Caenorhabditis elegans: one gene and its partner. The protein of the gene in region 1 interacts with the protein of each later gene in a pairwise test. Each region holds a gene or a part of one and is shown on either strand. Other genes may lie near its edges.

Region 1 (6,760 bases):
TTTGTTCCCGGGTTTGATGAGTCTCAAGTTCTTCAACTTTTGGAGGCTCTTGCTCATTTTCATGCGAAAATTATTGAGATAAGTGATGAGATTCCATGGAAGAATTATGAAAATGTGCTTTATGATGCGGCCTATATCAGGATGTTGGTGAGTTTTGAGCGGTAGGGAGGCAGGCACGAGATATTCAAATAGGCCTGAAAATGTGCCTGTCTGCCAGTGAAGCCCTAGGTATAGTAAGAAATAAAAAAAAAAGAGTATATTGCAATCGATTGCAATCTGGGCACATCTTTTCAAATTTCGAATTTAAAATTGGGCACATCTCTTTGATGGCCGCGAAAATTGGTGGCCGAATATTTTTGGAACTTATTGGAAATTGACTTTTCACAACAACCCGTAAATATGGTGTATGGTGTTTTGCTTACCTGAAAACCAGAGCGGCTCTTTCTCACGCTTCAGAATCAAAATTCCAGCACAACGACACCCTTGATTTTGAAAAGTTATGCCCGGCGGAGCTCTCCGGAAGAATTCAAGAAGTTAAGCATGCTTTTGATGAAGATGGAGTTAGAAATTCCGAAAAGAAAAACGAAAAACTTGGAATGCCATTGGTGATATGTCATAATGATTTGAACGCGTCAAATGTTCTATGGAATAATGAAACTGGAAAGGTAGAGTTGTCCAAGAGGACTACGTGTCATAGAATATAAAATTACTCCTAATAATAAAATTGAATAATTTCAGATCCAGGCATTTATCGATTTCCAGCACGTGTCAAAGGGTCCCGTCTCCTTTGATATTATTCGTATTTTGTGCCTTGGATTGTCAGTGGAAAATCGAAGAGCAAATACTCAAAGGTATCTTTTTCTAAGTCTAAACATTTTCAATAACCGAAAGAAGTAAAAATTGAAATGGCCCGCTTTTTGGCCGAGATTTGAAAATCGGGTTCGGAGATATAAAACACATTTCAAAACAAAGAGTCAGTTTCCATTTTCCAGATACCTGAACCACTACTATACGACCTTCAAATCTCATTTTTCCACGGCTCCCTTCACTTTCTCCCAACTCGAAGAATCCTATCGAACTCACTTCAATTTTGTGAATGCCACGTCACTATTCAGTCTGTCGTATTACTACAAAATGTATAAGGATGAGAGTTTGGATTTGAAAAGTGGAGCTGACGAAAGGGAACACAAAGCTCAGGAGATTTTGAGACGGACTATCGGAATTTTGGATGATATGTAATAGAAGAATATTTTTTAAAGATTTTTATATTATACATTAAAACAAATAAACTACTACTAATATTTGGAATTTTTTAAATTTTGATGATGAACAAAGTTGCTTAAAACATTATTTCAAATATGACAACACATTTTAAATTCTTTACGAAACAAAAATAATCCTAGTAAATCTTCGGTAATACATTAAAAACATCAAAGGTTTCGTAAATCAATGTTAAACAAATTGCGAAATATCGTCCGACTTGCAGTCAAACACTAGAGTATACATATACATAATACCCTTCCGTAACCCGGTTTTTAGCCTCAAGAGATTACTCATCAGATCGACACATGTTTTCTTTTTTCACTTCAACATGCTGCGTCTCTTGTCAATTTGATCTGAGTAATCTATGGGAGATCAGCAAGAACAATTTGCTATTTGCTAGAAATTGATAACACTTTTTGAAATATTTGAAAGGTAGTTTCTATGCTAGATTTTTCTATGTTAATCTGAATTTTAACATTTTTCAATTGATTTTATGCAGTACCTGAAAGTGGTCAAAATTTTGGAGCCATCGAACGACGCTTCAATATTCCGCCATGCTACAAAACTCAAGATTCCTTACAAGCGTCTTTGGGCGGAGCTTGAGCACGGGTGTCATTGGAGCTTCAAACTTCTTGGCTTCCAATTCCAAATGAATCATTCTTTCAACACATCACCTCCTTCTCAATAATTCCTTATCACTACTCTTTTTCCAACTGCTTACACGTTTTTATCGGTTATTTCTCTATTCCCCTTTCTCTCTCAGTTACTCCGGGTGTCTGTTCTCCACAGTTTTTGCAACAACTTGCGTGGTTTGACCATTGATTTTTTTTGCCTCTTGTTACTTTATTCTTGATTTAAGACAGGAACCGGGTTTATGGAAAATGCCCAACGACTTGCCGTTGCTGCCTCCGAAGAATCAGCACAAACACTTGGATAAAACTATGATCTCACTGCCGTCGGATTTCAGGTAAGGAATAAAAGTTGAGGATGTTATGTTAATCCGTACATTCGAATTGGAATGTATCTGCAAATTCGTTCTTGAAGAACATTAGTAGGTTAGCTTCAAGCGGGATTATGACATGTCGACGTTTTAGGCCCGAGAAAGAAGCGGAGTTCTTGCACTCTCCCCTCCCCCACACTCTCTAACCAACCCATTTTTACAGTGTAATAACTTTCATCAAGATTTAGCCAATAGCTGATTGATTGTGCTGATTGTGCTTTTTTTAATTGATATAACATTTAGAAATGAGGAACATTTAGAAACATGAACAGTTTATTCAAAAATATTAGGCTTACAACACTCTACACTTATCTCATTACAACATTCTTTTATTATCATATTGACATCCATAGACTGAAATTCCAAGTTTTAGAAATCAGAAACCTTGGAAACAAAACTTACCATTTTGCTAGGTAATTTAGCTGACACAGCTGGAACCGCCAACAATTCAGTCATGAAAATAATCAGTGATAGAAACAATAATGCAAAACTAGCATACATGTCAACTATGAATATTAAGTTTAAAATTGTTATGTAGTACCTAATCACACGTGGACTAGCAACAATTGATAAAACATTGTTATATATTATAGGTACCAAGCGTTAAATCTTACACTATGGGCTATTGTCGTAAAAAATAAAATAAAATAATACAAATCACGTTACCTGAAATTTTTTAAATTCTCAATTTTTTCGCAATTCGCCATTTTAATTGTTTAAAAAGATATGAGAGGAGGAGAGTTAAGACACTCAGCTTCTCTGTACTCTCCCGTGCCTCCATACGTCTAAAACTTACAATTTTCATACGAATTAGTTTCTTACAATTAGTAGATTCGGAGACGAATTAGTTACATTCGTATTAGTTTTACTCATTGTGTTTTAGGTTTTAAACAATCTATCATAGTCAATTTTTATATTACAGGCATTTGGCTCATGTCGGTCCAATGGGATCATCGGAAATTGAAAATCTTCGGACGAGCGATAATGTGATTGATACGGTTAATGAAAGGTTTGTGATCTACAAGCATTACTTGAATTCAATGTGGATGAATAAAGAATTCAGCAGCTACTACATAAGACCCTCCTCGTCGAATAGTACACTCCGATCGCAGAGAAAAGAAAAAGATGTAGGGAACTATTTAATTACTTTTCTCCAAAAAAGTTCAACTTTTCAGAGAGTTGGACTAGATGATGCTTTCCCATCAGCTTCAAAAAGTGAAGAAGAGGTTGAAGTTGTCAGAGGTTACGAGAATCAACCAACATCCCACCAATACATAAATATTGCTCCACCACGTCCGAGCAAGAAAAATTATAAGGCTCCAGCTCCCCCTACTCCTCCTCCACAGTGAGTATTTGTATGACATTTTCTAACAACACAGTTTTTGAATTAGTTTTTTACCTCAATTCCAAGAAGTACTTCCTTTAGAATTAAGTTTCTTACTGGCGCTTTCAAATTTGACAACTGAATCAAAAGTTGGTTGAGAATTAAACTTTCAGGAACAGCAAGCCGAATTTGATCTTCAACGCCCAAGACGACGAGGAGGAAACATCAGAAATCTCAGAGCAACCTGTAGTTTTTCGGTATTTCTTGATTGGACCCTGAAGTTTAAAAATTTTTCAATTTTCAGGTCAATCTCCCACACTTCGAATATCTCAACACACATAGCTCCACCTCCAAAAATCCAAACCGCCGACCGAATCGTTGCACCGAAGCCTAACTCTCTGGTGATCGAAAGACCGGGTGATCTTGGTGGTGCTTTTAGTTTCGGTCTCGATGATTGCATTCCAATTGTTAAAAGTACACCACCTCTCAATACACTTTCTCCGTTGCATCGGCCTTTGGCAATCCCGAAGAATCAGGAGGAGACACCGATATTGAGTCCGGCGAGTCCGCCGGATGACTCGAATTATATGTCAACTATTCGGAGCACATCCGTTCAAGGGAGAAAGATCTTGGATGAGCTTGACGATTGGTTGGATGACCTGGATGATCTCGATAGGGATCAATTATCCACAATCAGTACTGACGAATCGGGTTATCCGACGCTTGCACTAGAAAAAGATCGGGCTTTTATGAAGCATTTGGTGGAGAAGTATGAGTTGGGGGTAGCTCCAGAGACAATTAGACTTCGGAAGAAAAAAGGACCGGCTCCAAAAGCTCCAAGCCTCCCTCCAGACCTCTCCTCTCCAACATTCCAAGCTCCAGGATTTATTCCTGCGTTCTCCGCTCGGCCTGTGAGTATGCCTCCCAACCGACCACCTCCCTCATATGAAGCTCCAAGCTTTGATGCTCCCGAAGCTCCTGGTACAGTATTAATCAATGGAAGAGCCTTGACAAAGCAAAATGCGCTAGACCTCCGCTCAAGTGACGAAAGTGGAGTACCTCCTGCAATTGCCAGGTTCTTATATGATAAGAGGATCAAGTCAGCAACAATGCCAATGTCCATCGGAAGAATGACGTCTTCATCTGGGAACACGGATGTTTCCACTACCTCGTCAAGATCAAATGCAGATACTGTGTCAAGTATTCTGTCGACGGTTGGGGAGGATGATGATGTGGAAGTTCTGAAAAGGGATCGGGAAGTTGAAGAAGAGTTTGTACCGCCCGTGCCAAAGCCGAGGAGCAGAAAGACGGTAAGCTTTCTTGTGTGATCCACAAGATCAGTTATGTAGGTGCAACATTAAGAGAGGAATTACGGAATTAAAGTATTACTTTCAACTTTTGAATCATATTTCTGACCATTTGATGAGTCACCATAAAATAGATATTTGTGAATCTGAATGAGAGGGGGGGGGGGCAAAAGTTTCAAGAACGGGTGCTCCTGAACCTAAACGATATTTGCTCCAATTACTTGGATCTAGTCGTACTCACGATTTTCACAGTTATTCTCACATTTTCGAAAGCAAATCAGTTCCGCTACCCTTTGACCTGATTCTATAATTTATTCTCTCCCCTCTAGAACAAATATAAATCTATTTAAATGAAACCGATACAAACATCAAAAAGTCAACAATCACCAATGTTCTTCTTCATTTGTTTTTCTTCGCAGGTCTCAACGGAACCGTTAAAAGAAGAAGAAGAAGAAAATGTCGAAGAGGAGATAAAGGGCGAAAACGTGATTGGGGAGGAGTTTCAAGTGGTGGGAGATACAAAAATAAATGATGAACAAGAAGATCGGGTGGAAGCGACAAAAGACAAGGTAACTAGTAGTGATAAAAGATCAATCGCCAAGATAAGCTTATTGGAATTTGAAATAGTTTGCTAATTACCCCTAGTTTCCAATTTTTCCGAGAAAGTACTTTTGTTGATTGGAACTGCCATTCATAGGATCACAAGGTGATCGAAAACAAAAAGAAGCAGCTGACTACTTGCGAATTTCCAGTAGAAATAGATTTAGAGAAGCAAGAAATTCGAGAAATTCTTTAGACAAAATTTTTCTTTGGAATGGTGGGTCATGGGTCCGCACGTACCCAAGTTTCTCTCTGAGACTGAGCAAAATGTATAAGTGGGCTCTCAATACAATTTTCTGTCATAGGTACGTGCAGACATTTTTAAGCAAACGATCGATCAAACCAAGTAATGAGCAAAAATAGTGCTAATAGGTTAAGATTTCCTACGAGGCAGGTTGCATACCCTAGCAGATATTTCTAAATAGATTTTGTACCAAATATCATTAACTGGGGAGCCTTCAGTAGTTGTCCTATTTCCTGGCACTTGTTAATTTTCAAAAAATTATTCAAATTCCCACTATTTTCAGATTAATGACGCTTTCATCATGCTTCCACCACCTTCAGCAGCCGCAATGATCCCATCAGATTCAGAATCCGAAGACGACGATAATTTCATTATTACTCGATTTTAAATTATTTGTTTTACTTAAATTCTTAACTAAACTCTAGTCAATTGTCTCTCTACATTCCAGTGCCAAACCACCATTCCATTAAAAATAAATTTCTCAAATAAAACCGATTCGATTTGCGAAAAAAGCAATATATTTTATTTTCATTTCTTCACAGCACAAAAAATAACAATTTGGAAGGTATGTACAGAATCCGTTTCGATCAAACGCGTCAATGGGAGGTTTCAAGCAACTTTTTCAGATGCTCCTCGGCGGCTTCCAGATCATCACGGAGATAACGGAGTTTTGCAGGGGTCACAAATTCCTCGTTGTATACGTTTTTCTGGAAAAGTAAAAGGGTTTAAAGGGTGGAATGGGATAATCTTTTGTGGCCTACACTATCTTTTTTAAGTTGTTAACTGATCTACAATCTCGAAAATTCCCCGTAAAACTGCAATTTTTGAGTAATATGTTCAGTTACAGCCTTTTGGAAACTCAAAATCCTAGTGCTTTGTCATTTGAATTTTGCATTTTGTCCAGCGTACAGAATAGTTTTTGCTAAGTAGTCGAGAAATTTTATAATTTGACGTTTCAGAGAAATTGAAAACTATTTTTTTCCGAAAACGGGCTTAACTATTGCAATTTTTTAAATTTGAGG
Region 2 (5,502 bases), on another chromosome or scaffold:
ATTTTGGCAAATTGCCGATGTGCCGATTGGTCGGAGATTGTCAATTCCGGCAAATTCCCAATTTGCCAGAAATTTTCATTTTGGCAATTTGCCGATTTGCCGATTGGCCGGAAATTGTCATTCCGGCACTTTGCCGATTTGCCGGAAATTTTCATTTTTGGTATTCCGGCAAATTCTGCGATTTGCCGGCTGGCCGATTTGCCGGAACTTTCAAATTCCGACAATTTGCCGATTTGCCGGAAAAAACTCGTTTGTCGCCCACTCACAAATTTTTAAATTGAACTTTTTTAAATTCTAATTAACTTTAGAACCTTTAAGAAAAATTTTGAAATTCTTGCTCAAATATTGACATAAACCGCCTATATACAGTACCTCATAAAAGCCTAGAAAGAATATGTATTCAAATTCAATCATAAATGTGTCACCACCTCATCATAAACAAATCTCTTCTCCCCTCCCATATTTTCTCACAATTTTATCACCATGGTTTCTTCTTCTTCTTCTTCTTCAGAGAGAGAGAGAGCGTCATTTCTCACACACACACACAAAATTTTCCTGCATCTCTCACACACGTTCTGTGCTCTTTTGTCTCTTGTTTACACGTCTGTTGTCTCTCGGACTTTATTTACGAAATGCTGCGTCTCTCCTGCCCTTCTCTCTCTCTCTCTCTATTGCGCCCAGAGACCACACTTTTATTGCCATTGTCGTCGTCGTCGTCGGAAATTTTCTCGCTTTTTCATCTTCTTCTTCTAAATAATCATGTTTTTAAAATTCAATTTTAATTTCAGGAACCACCGAAAAGCCACCACCAGCAAAAAATGTCCGCCGAAGAGCCAAAGTCCTACGTGAGTTTCGTTTCTAACGGTGTTGTAACAACAACAAAAAAGAAAAGAATAGAAAAAAAACCGTATCAGTACGGGGGTGATGAAAGTGCGGCGGCGGCCCCAGTCAAGCGTAAGAAATAATGAAAAAGAAAGGACAGAAACTTTTGGAGAATTTGCCCGTTTCTGTAAGTGTCACCTCTATAGTTCACCACCGATGTTTGGACTACTACTACTACGTGTTGAATCAGAAGGAAGATCAGACGCCGCAAAAAATATATTTGTTGATAGTTGATTTCGAAATTGTAGTTCTTGACACTGATGATTGATCGTTAAGTGAACAATTTTAAAGAAACGATTTTTGCATAACGTCCAGTTTGCAGCAATTCTACAGAATCAGGTTGAAAAGCTTCGAATTTAGAAACGTCTTCAGCTAAAGTGAGACCAAAATGTTTCCATCAAAAGCTCAAAAGGCATTTTTAATCTCTTTTTTCCAGCTTGAAACAATTTCCAGTTGATCTTTAAGATGCTTACCACTCGAATTTCAAATTGCTTCTGCAGTCTTCTATGTTAAGCCGTGTCTCATCATGAATGTCCTTTCTCTTCGATGTCTTGTGCCTTCTTGAAAATCTTCCGACGAGTAGTAACCTCCTTTTTCTCGAATATAGAACAACAAATGGCAGTTTGGCAATTTGGCAATTTGGACAAAACACTAGTACACCATGAGAACCTGCCTAAGATCAATGCCACATTTTTTCTCGCCTTGGCCCTAGTTGTGCAACACCTTTTCAACGTTTGAAGCAGGGGTGGGCGGCAATTGCCGGTTTGCCGGAAATTTCAATTCCGGCAATTTTCCGATTTTCCGCAAATTTCAATTCCGGCAATTTTCCGATTTGCCGGAAATTTCAATTCCGGCAATTTGCCGATTTGCCGGAAAAAAATCGTTTGCCGCCCACCCCCTGGTTTTTGAAGTGCATTTCGAGCCTTTGAAGTTGAAGTTTGCACGTGACGCCCAGACTCGAAATGCGGTAAACAGTAATGCGAAGACGCAAATATTGAGCATGGATTTTGCTCCGAAAACTTTTGTTGTTTGAGTTTCAACAAATCATACAAAAAAAATTTCGAGCTGAAAACTGTACCAACACTCATTATCGATCTCTTCCTCTCCAGAAAGTTCCGTTCCTTTTTTCAATTTCACTGTTTTCTTCGCCTACAACGACACGATGAATCATGGCGAGAAGTCGTATGCGAGAGACTGTACGAGAAGTCGGAGACACAGACAGATGCACAAAAAGAAACATTTCAATGTCGCCTCGCGCACATGCTGTCACCCTCCCATAATTCCATGCTCTCTCTGACTCAATATTGGGCGGCGCTTGCGAATGTTATGACTGTTCAACTGTCTGGTTTCTCTCTCCTCTCACACTCTCAGCTTTTGTTGAAACTGTTTACCGGTCGTCAGTTCTTCGTTTGACTCGCGTCCTGAACGATCGCTTTCAGTTTTCCTCAGCTCAACTCTTTACACTAATGTCTTCCACTCCTCAATTCCTTCGCTGGTACGAGCAGAACAAGGTAAAGCATGCCTCTATACATGGGGGTGTCAGGCTGTCCCATGTTTGATCTACAAAAAAAAGCGGGAATTTTTTCTCCTGCAACTTTTCGGAGATCAAACTGACATGGGACATTCTGACACCAGCTCGAAAATGGAGAGCATTCCAAGTTTGTTGGTTGCCACTAAAGTGACACATTCCTCTCGTTATCTGCTCGCCCACACCTTCGGTTCCATTATCAACATTCGAGATTCCCGCCATATTTCTGGTGTGTTTGCTCGGCGGCACATCACAACAAAATTTTGTGCAAAATGGAGCAAAATGGAGCTAAAAAATAGAAAGCAACTAGACAATGTAGAAAAGGCATTTTTTGTCGTCGTCAGCTGTATGAAAGTCTGGGGAGCGCGAAGATTGGTGGATGCAGATTGGATAACAGCTCTTCCGCTTTTTCGGGTCTCGCTTCTTGCTCGCTTATTCTGTTCACCAGTGTGTGACACGCGAGGTCCCCCCCCCCCCCCAGCATATATTTCTACATGATTACCCTACTGAACATTTTAAAATGGCATATGGAAGAAGAAATGGTTCTAGAAAACTCTACTTATAAATCTATTACCGAAACACAAAATTCTGAGAATGCGTATCGCGCGACATATTTGACGCGCAAAATATCTCGTAGCGAAAACTACAGTAGTTCATTGTTCATTACATGACTACTGTAGCGCTTGTGTGTCGATTTACGGCATTTCACAAGCGCTACAGTAGGCATTTAAGGAGTTACTGTAGTTTTCGCTACGAGATATTTTGCGCGTCAAATATGTTGTGCAGTACGCATTATCAGAAAAATGTGTTCCCGTAATAATCCAATTAATTTTTTAAAAAATTAAAATTTTTAAATTTTTCAGCCAGTACCATACCGCTCAGTGCTCCAGGAGAAGTTCGAGCCCGGACAGACGCTCATCGTCAAGGGATCGACGATCGACGAGTCGCAACGCTTCACCATCAACCTTCACTCGAAGACCGCGGATTTCTCCGGAAACGATGTGCCACTCCACGTCTCTGTCCGCTTCGATGAGGGCAAAATTGTGCTCAACTCGTTCTCGAATGGAGAATGGGGAAAGGAAGAGCGCAAGTCGAACCCAATCAAGAAGGGAGACTCGTTCGACATTCGCATCCGTGCTCACGACGATCGCTTCCAGATCATCGTCGACCACAAGGAGTTCAAGGACTACGAGCACCGTCTGCCACTCTCCTCAATCTCTCACCTCTCGATTGACGGAGATCTCTACTTGAACCACGTTCACTGGGGAGGAAAGTACTACCCAGTACCATACGAGAGCGGACTCGCCAACGGACTTCCAGTCGGAAAGAGCCTCCTCGTCTTTGGAACCGTTGAGAAGAAGGCCAAGCGCTTCCACGTCAACCTTCTCCGCAAGAATGGAGACATCTCGTTCCACTTCAACCCACGTTTCGATGAGAAGGTAAGGGTTGATATATGCCACGAGGCACCACAGAAAGGAGAACCACGACAAAGGAGAACAGGAACCACGTCCATTTTTCCGTGCCGCGAGAGGCACCACATTTTCAGGATCTGGAACCGTACCAACTGCGGTTTTTGCAGTTTTCTCTCGATGAAAAACGAAACAACGATGCTCCGATGTTATGCGTGTTGTTTAGCGTTTTCCAAAAGTTTTTATTTCAAAAAAACATTATTCTGAACGCTAAACAACACGCGACGCGTCATATCGGAGTATCGTTGTTTCGTTTTTCAGCGAGAGAAAACTGCAAAAACCGCAGTTGGCACGGTGCCCCAGATCCTGAAAACGTGGTGCCTCAAAATTTGCGGAAAACTTGCGGCACGGAAAAATGGGTGTGGTTTCTGTGTTCTCCTTGTTCACCTGTTCTCCTTTCTGTGGTGCCTCACACACACATACACAAAAAGACCCGCATTTTGTTTGCTACATTTGGGCAAATATGGCGCTCTTCAACAAACAATTTTATGAGACACAAAAGTTTTGCATGTGTCTATTTCTATTGGTAAAATTGGTGAAAGGACAAAAAAAAATCGATTTCAATAGAAATTTGACCAAATTCTTTATTTCCTTTCTTCCAGCACGTCATCCGCAACTCTCTTGCCGCCAACGAATGGGGAAATGAGGAGCGCGAGGGAAAGAACCCATTCGAGAAGGGAGTCGGCTTCGACTTGGTCATCCAAAACGAGGAGTACGCGTTCCAGGTGTTCGTCAACGGAGAACGCTACATCTCGTTCGCTCACCGCGCCGATCCACACGACATTGCCGGGCTTCAGATCTCTGGAGACATTGAGCTGTCTGGAATTCAAATCCAATAAATTATGTATTGATATCCCCTGTTCCCCCTCTTTCTTCTGTTATCCAGCTCTCCCATTTCTCTCTCTCTCACTGATCAATCTTCCAAAAGTCTACTGCCCCTCTCCCCCCCCCCCCCCCCCAAAAAGAATCATTTCTCTATTATTTCGCACCGGCAACTGAACTGTAATCCCGCGTTTTTCTTTTTGTATCTTTTCTCACCCCCCACATTGTATTTTAATAAAATTGGATAGCAGATTTTCTCGTTGTCATTTCAGGTTTCATATTTTGAAAGCGGATCATCATGAAAAGTTCTGCGAAAAAAACGCGAAAAGTAAGCGAAAACTCGAAAAAACTATATTTGAAAGTACCGCCGTTTTTGTCCAGGAGAGCGCGTTTTCCTCGAGTCACTACAAATTGCACGGAAGTCGAATCGTGAAAACCGCGCGTGTTTCCCATCAGGTTTGCCTACAAAATTTAGTTTTCTTCTTATTGTTAAATCAATAATTATTATAATGTATAATGTGAAGCTCGAAATCTTGAATAATCCTGAATAATCCTGCTATAAACTCGGGTTTCTAAAGTTTTCCTCAGGATTTTTGTTCCCTGGAATGCGTGGTGTCTCCCATTTTTTTTTGGATTTTTGGATTTAAATGCATTTTTCGCTGTTTTTTCTCTCAAATAAGCCGGAAAAATTGAAAATTTTCAGTTTCCGATGAGCGCCGACACGTCGGCTCGTCTTCTTCAGCTTGACCCTCTACTCGAAGCGAAAAATCCGAATGTTCGAAATGAAGCGGCCGCTGCGTT

The links.
Region 2: the proteins of F09F7.5 (region 1) and lec-1 interact in a two-hybrid assay, tested with the Caenorhabditis elegans proteins (2 studies listed by BioGRID).

The regions. Positions count from the first base shown.
Region 1 is NC_003281.10:5,544,988-5,551,747, forward strand, and holds F09F7.5 (CRIB domain-containing protein), read left to right. Parts: upstream 1-2,122; 5' UTR 2,123-2,144; coding exon 2,145-2,230; intron 2,231-3,185; coding exon 3,186-3,272; intron 3,273-3,326; coding exon 3,327-3,390; intron 3,391-3,438; coding exon 3,439-3,608; intron 3,609-3,760; coding exon 3,761-3,844; intron 3,845-3,891; coding exon 3,892-4,897; intron 4,898-5,313; coding exon 5,314-5,463; intron 5,464-6,021; coding exon 6,022-6,126; 3' UTR 6,127-6,228; downstream 6,229-6,760. Other genes in the region: putative kinase-like protein D1044.1, read left to right, coding at 1-147, 471-665, 739-851, 993-1,239; F09F7.6 (Ferritin), read right to left, coding at 6,335-6,445.
Region 2 is NC_003280.10:13,194,761-13,200,262, forward strand, and holds lec-1 (Galectin), read left to right. Parts: upstream 1-2,185; 5' UTR 2,186-2,348; coding exon 2,349-2,393; intron 2,394-3,273; coding exon 3,274-3,849; intron 3,850-4,481; coding exon 4,482-4,718; 3' UTR 4,719-4,953; downstream 4,954-5,502. Other genes in the region: btf-1 (BTAF (TBP-associated factor) homolog), read left to right, coding at 5,411-5,502. UniProt on the Caenorhabditis elegans protein: Binds galactose.